Xenopus tropicalis: one gene and its partner. The protein of the gene in region 1 interacts with the protein of each later gene in a pairwise test. Links are inferred from orthologs where the notes say so. Each region holds a gene or a part of one and is shown on either strand. Other genes may lie near its edges.

Region 1 (3,657 bases):
TTCTGATTACTGTTACTCTAGTCTTCTTTTCATTGTGTACTGCAGCTCCGTCTGTGTGTGTTGGAGACAGGTGTGCTGCTCATAGTAGTGCACTGAGCACCAACCACACATTCACATCATTTTTTTTATTTGTGTTTTTTTACTTTGCTACTGTAATTTATAGAGCCCAGTGCTATTAGTCTAGACTGGTGTGCTGCTCCTAGTAGTTCACCCCCAGCACCAACCAGAGATCACTTTTTTTTTTATTATTAATTTTTTTTTTAAAATATATTCCGTATCCACTACTGCAGCGTTTTGTCTTTGCGTGTGAACCGGCTGTAACCTTTACATGACTTGATTGGCATGTAGACGCCGGACGTTTTAAAGCAGTTTATTACACAAGTTTAGAAATGTAGTGTGATTTCTGTCCTTTACAGCACAAAACACAACGCTGTGTCAACAATGTATTTTTCAGAGAAATTTTTGCCCTTGATCCCCCTCCTGCATGCCACTGTCCAGGTCGTGGCACCCTTTAAACAACTTTAAAATCAGTTTTCTGGCCAGAAATGGCTTTTCTAGGTTTTAAAGTTCGCCTTCCCATTGAAATCTATGGGGTTCGCAAAGTTCGCAAAAGTTCGCACTTTTTGGCAGAAGTTCGCGAACGGGTTCGCAAACTTTTTTTGTGAGGTTCGCTACATCTCTAACTGCGTATGCCATCCCACCGCTGATTTACATACTAACCGGTGGAATGGTATTTCGGGGAGATTTGTTGCGGGCGACTAATCTCCCCATCTGCCACAGCCCTTATATAACCTTGTGTCTGACATCTATTTAGTGATCCAATACACATGTCATTAGACCAATGTAAATAAGTGGTAAATGCTTAGGGCTAAAGCAATCAAGTAAAAGGTTTGACAGGTCTAGTTACCTAAATCAACCTATCAGACTATTAACTCCTAATTGTTTATTGATTGGTATGATTGATTAGCTGGAGCTTTAGAATGACCTCAAAACCCTCACATTTTACAAAGAATTTGTACAATGCACATGTTTCTACAACCCAGTTACACAAATAACATAACAATCACCAAATATAACTGATGACATCCTCCTCTGAATAAATATGCTGACATTCATGTGTTTTCCTGTTCAATCCAACAGATGTTTCACGTGCTATAGAGCTGTTAGAGAAGCTGGAGACATCAGGAGAACTCCCAGTGCAAAAGCTGCAATCACTGAAAAAAGTACTACAGAGTGAATTTTGCACAGCCATAAGAGAGGTAGGATACCAAGACCAGAATGACTCAATATCATGATGAGCTACTTACTAAAGTGACTAGATTAGTGAGATGAATTTATTAGCTAAGATACATACATTTACAATTTGTCATGCCAAGAGTTGTATAATAAGGGCAGTTTTATCAAAGTGTGAATTTAAAGCTCACTGCAGTAAAAGTCCATTGCTCTCTATTCATTTCCATGGGATAAGGCATACTTATCAGTGAAAGTTAGAGTTCACCGTTATACCTCTAAAAATCCCAAAGAAAATTAATTGAGAGCATTGGAATTTGACTGTGTTGAGCTCTAGTTTCACACAAATCTGCCTATACATGCTCTAAAATGGGCGCAAGAGACTTGTGGCAATTCAGGGACAGAGAAAGGCAGGGTGGAAAATTATCTTAATGGAATCTATAAGAATACAGAAAAAAGACATATTATGGCATTAGTGCATTAGAAAAAATTTACATTAAAAAACATGTATCAAGTTCCTATTTAGTTACCAGAACAACTTAAAAACCCTGAATCATGTAGCATTTTGCCTATTAGATGTTTGCAATTGTAACACCTTGGATGTTGCTTCCAGTGGCATTAAAAGAGGTTCTTTTTTTAAGTTCCTGGCTCAGAGACAAGTTTTGGTTACATAAAAATGGTGTACTGACAAACAGAGCCTAACATAGGCTGCCAGTGCACATAGGGCCTACCAAATAGCCAATCACAGCTCTTATTTAGCATCCCCAGAAACATTTTTAATGCTTGTGTTGCTCTCCAACTATTTTTACCTTTAAATGTGGCTCACGGGTAAAAAATGTTCTTTCTTACACTCAACATCAGGGGAACACAAGCATATTAAGGCAAATAGCACTTAAGCAATAAAAAAGAAAGCTTTGACCACCACATCCATTATTCCAGGAATATTTAAGCTTTTTTAATTTAGGTAAATAGTTATCAAAGCCTGGAAAGGCAACATACTACTAAATTCTCTGTAAAATAGTACATAAAAAACTAAATTAGGCTTGTGATTTTTTTCTAGTTCGTTTCTTTTTTATTTTTTGTTTCGTATTCCCTTGGCAGCAATGTTCTCCATGTTCCAGATATCTGAAAATGTCCTATAGCAATAAAGTAGACTGCAAAATATATTTTTAATGCAGATGAAAGTAATAACTGTCCAACTGTCCTACCTCTTGAATGCAATGTGCTGTTATCCAGAAAAAGTTAGGAACACTTGAGAACAGGTTGTTCTACTGTAGAAGCTAAAAGGCACACAGAGGTCTGTCAGAATTAAAATTTGTGAATTTTAGAGCTTTTTTCATTTTACCAAGCTCAAATGTGTGCTTATTTATTAGAAAACTCAAATTAAAAAAAACTCAATTGAATAATAACATTAAAAAAAAAATGATTACAGTGAATTTGCATTCTCCTTTTCATTTCAATAGATCTACAAACTCTCAAAGAAATGAAAAATTAAAAAAAACTCAAATTAAAAAAGTTTTACTAGAACAACTTCTACATTGACCTCATGATGTTTCCAGTTATAGAATGCATCACTACTGCAGTGTACAATACAGGAACAGAACCGTATGGGTCACAGGGTCCATGCTGATAATGCAGACACCCACCAGAGGATCTAACTCACCCTTAAAAAGTAAATGCTGTGCTTTTTCAACCACTTAGATTGCCAATCGCTATGATTGGGGGATTGCATATAAAATATAGGGGTAGAGGGATAATAGAAAAAGCCAAGGTTTGTGTAGCTTATACTGATAAGTAGTACAGTCCCTACAACTGTCCCTATCACAGCCAAGCCCATCACGTCCAGCTGGATTCCTGCCTATAGTCTGCCTTTTTTCAGCTCCCTTCCAACACTCAGCATGATATTTTCAACATGGGTCCTTATGTTTCCATTCATTAAAAAACTAATTATTTTTTGCCCATTCCTGCAAAGACCTTTCTGTAATGAACTTCTAAATAAATGTACTATGGAATATTAGGTGTAAATTAATTTTCTTCCTTACAATATACAGAGATTACAGTGCAGTGGGTATATTTTAGAACCTGCTTTTTATAACATTTAGGGGCACATTCATGAAAACACGAGTTTGAATCCTGAATGGGATTAATTCGGATTGGATACGATAATTTCTTAAGGTTGCAAATATCACGAATATGCTTACGAAAAAAACGTTAGTCATGATAATATCGTATTGGTGATCCGAAAGTCACAAAATCTTTGTACCGAACGATCGTAAAATGCAGGAAAACCTTTCCAACTTTGATCATTCTGTGCATGATTTTGGAAGCCTCCCATAGGAATCAATGGTACTGTGCAGATCCAACCTGGCCCAAGGAAAGTCGCAATAACGAAGCTTGAATGAATCCGAAACTTTCATACTCGGCGCG
Region 2 (3,657 bases), on another chromosome or scaffold:
ATATACTTACACCCATATCTGTATTGTTATGCTTTTCTTTATGCTACTTGTATCTATAGGTAGGTATGTCATTTTCTCTATATCACTGTAATTCTTTACTTCCCTTCAAGTTTTTAATGAAACTATACACAAAATGTAGATAATACAGTACACAGAGGTTTTAACCAGTTTTATAACAATGAAAGCCCTATGTTAGCCTTATGTATGAAATGTATGACATTCCTTATAATACAATAAGTGTTACTCGTGAATTCTTTTTCAGGTGTTTGTTAAGTGTCACTTTAGTTATGATCCTTCCAGTGACAGTCTGATCCCATGTAAAGAGGCTGGCTTGCCTTTCAAAGCTGGGGACCTTCTACAGATTGTTAATCAAGAGGATCCCAACTGGTGGCAGGTAGGGGGTAATGGTTAAAGTGCCAGTTTTGTCCATGAGGTCTTGGTATTCTCCTGTGCAGTACAGTAACCCCCATATGTTATAAAAGGCACTATGTTTGACCTGGAGAAGTAACCCACAGCAACCAATAAGAGGTCTGCTTTTAAACAGGTGACCATTAAATTCTACCTGATTGGTTGCTATGAGTTACTGCTCCTGGGCAAACTTAGTGCATTTTATTACATAACCCCATAAGCATCTAACCAATTTGACTCCATCCCTCTGATTTTACCATCTCACCAGTCTTGCCTTTCACCACCCTTGTGTCTTGGCGATCACTCCAGTCTTAAGGGTATATTTATCATACTGTAAAAACTGGAGTACAACATTACTGGTGATGTTGCTCATAGCAGCCAATCAGATGCTTTGCTTTGGTTTTCTAACTGTTGAAATCTAATTGCTGATTGGTTGCCCTGGGCAACATCACCAGTAATGCTTCACTCTACATTTTACACAGCATGATAAATATACCCCTAAATTAGTGTCTTCAAGACCCTTGACTTTAACATCTCTCCAGTCTTCATATCCTCCAATGCTTTAACATTTTACCAATGTAGGTTTCCCCTAGTCCTATGTCTATAACATGTCAGCAGTCTTTATTTCCTACAGATCACCTTGCCTGCAGTCTACTATCTTTAACACCTCTCCAGTCTTGTGTTCTCCAAGCCATTTTTAGCATGACTCGTGCCCTTTGCCCTGTTTATGTAAACTACTGTCTAATTCAGGGGTCCTGTCGTTTTTTTGCTTAACTTTCTACTGATCCGCCAGGTCTATGTGCTATACCGGGGGATCTTGCAACCCTGTGTGACTTACATCTAACCGATTCTGTGTACCTTAGCAGCCAATGGTGTTAAACCCTTGCATATCTTGAAATCCTCTGAGGTTGCATGTTTAATGTCTTACCACCATCTGATAACTTTTAGAATCCACCAGCACAAGTCTATTGACCAGTTTTGGATCCTGTGTGGTTTATATCTCATTTGACCTAGAACTCCAAACCAGGTTTATTAATGTTTCCCCAATCAATGGATCATCCCAAAGTCCGGGGTTCATCCAGTTGCACTTATTCTATTTCTATCCCTAGCATTCCTCACTGTGTATCTAATATCATACCAGTCTTTAGATAATCCTTGGCTGACTAGCATCTCAATTCTCATGGAACCCTTTAACCAAAATGATCAAAATAGGAGTCTGGAGCTAAATACATAAAAACTCACCCATATTCTGTTCATTCCTATGGGATCTTGAGAAGTGTATTTATCAATTGGTGAACTTTTTCACCTATTTATGAAATGTTCATGGATTAACTGAGATGATAACAGGGCTTATTTACAACTGTAACTACAGTTGTGGTCCTTGAATGAAGAAGCCACTCATTAGAGGACTTGCATCTAAAGTTGCTCTTTGCACTTCCACATAGGAGGACTTTGCGCTATCCACTTGGCACAAATCCGTTCCTTCAGTTTTGAATTGTGTACCAGTCCACCTATTTATGATAAGTTCCCATAACGACTTGTGTGCAAAACGCCTAAAGAATCATACATTGTAAATCCTTCAGCAAAATTGTGTCTACTTAACGTTCAAAAGCAAGCATCATTTCTTATTATTCCACATGAAAAGGCACTAGTAATGTGTGGGCTGGCCGATACCTGAAGGACCTGCGGGTCAGGCATGTTTGGGACGACCTTGGCACCCCATTTGCGGGTCGTGGGTGGGTTTGAGTTGAGCTCTTCCACCTGCCCTCCTGCCCACTACCTTACACAGCTGGCTTGTGGTTTCCAGCAGTTGGATTTATAGGCGTGTGCCCACTGTGACATCATCGGGCGTGGATCTATAAAGAAAGGGTAGAAGCCGGGCCGGGTAGAGTTTGAGTTGGGAGCGGCTGATTAGAGTTGGATGCGGGCCAAGTATTTCTCAACCCGCACATCTCTATCAGGCACATCTTTTGTCACAGCCACATGGAATAACACTGCATTGTGGGTAAAAACGTGACAACTTTCAGCCAAAATTGCACTTGTGCTTGTAAATGATCCCTGATATCATAAATGTAATTCTATTGAACAACTCCTGATTCTCTGTCTCTTTTCTAATTGTTACTGTTCCCCAGGCCTGTCTGGTAAAAGGTGGCACTGCAGGTTTGATCCCCAGTCAACTACTGGAGGAGAAGAGGAAAGCATTTGTAAAACGGGATGGAGAGTTCACTCCTAACTCCAGTAAGTATTTTCTGGCCCATGATCTGCATGTCAATAAAAAAAGTAGTTTGTGGTGGGAGTGCAACATAGAGTAGACACTGCATTGTGTGAATTCAAAAGTCTCTGATTTCTTTTGTAAAATAGCTATATACTCCCCTTTTCAATATTATTTCAATGAATGGGGCTTATGCTGAACATTCTTTTTTTTTTTTTTAATTAGAAAATATATTTTTGTCTGGACACAATTAAAACAAATAAGCAGTCTACTAAGAAGCCTCTGTATAAACAAACCCCTCCCTGAACCCCTGCTGAAGCCTTTGAGATATGCCTGAGATAAAAAGCAGTGCATAATACAGAGGGTCTCTCAGTGGACTGCTGATTTGTTTTGATTGTGTTTGGAAGAACTAGAAGTGGAATGTAACTTTACTTTCAATTTCATATTTTGCTCTGCTTAGCTCAGAAACAATGGGTAAAACAATGGGCAAAAGGTATGTGTAAAACATGCTGTATTGATTGTACTAATGTTAAAAAAGGGGTTAAACTGCCCTTTCTATGCAAGGCAAACACAAAAGAATTTATGGATACTGTTTGAGCCTAAGCCACTATTATCCATCCATGAAGCGCTTCTGCACTATGGATTGATGGTGAACATTGTGCTCTTCTCCTTTGCCCACCATAGTTGTTGAGCTCAAGAGGCCAGTTCTGCCTATGGCAGGCTATCTGATTTACCTAGCCAAACTAGGCATAAGCTATTAGAACATTCCAGAGGACACCCCCATGTCTTCCACTTAGTGTGCCAAAGAGCACCAATACAGGCAGTGCTGTATTTATAGTGAGGATGAGCTCTTTGTGCTCCATCTTCTGTGCACCTTAATGGCAGAACCGCTAGAGTTACAAAAGCTTACATTTTTTTCTCTTGGCTATTTTGTGCCACGGTTTTTCATAGAGCTAGAAAACAGCTCATGGCTGTCAGCAGGTGCAGAGACTTGTAGTTTTATAAAAATTGAGGTTCATGGCTGAGCAGTGTTACCG

Evidence for each region.
Region 2: the proteins of lin7a (region 1) and mpp2 interact in binary tests that used the Homo sapiens proteins (3 or more experiments, as listed by UniProt). The two-hybrid records come from large-scale screens. The link is inferred for Xenopus tropicalis from reciprocal best matches to the Homo sapiens genes LIN7A and MPP2.

The regions. Positions count from the first base shown.
Region 1 is NC_030679.2:52,581,817-52,585,473, reverse strand, and holds part of lin7a (protein lin-7 homolog A), read left to right. Parts: intron 1-1,140; coding exon 1,141-1,259; intron 1,260-3,657. UniProt on the Homo sapiens protein: Plays a role in establishing and maintaining the asymmetric distribution of channels and receptors at the plasma membrane of polarized cells.
Region 2 is NC_030686.2:18,113,892-18,117,548, forward strand, and holds part of mpp2 (MAGUK p55 subfamily member 2), read left to right. Parts: intron 1-262; coding exon 263-394; intron 395-2,540; coding exon 2,541-2,646; intron 2,647-3,657. UniProt on the Homo sapiens protein: Postsynaptic MAGUK scaffold protein that links CADM1 cell adhesion molecules to core components of the postsynaptic density. In CA1 pyramidal neurons, required for synaptic KCNN2-containing channel function and long-term potentiation expression.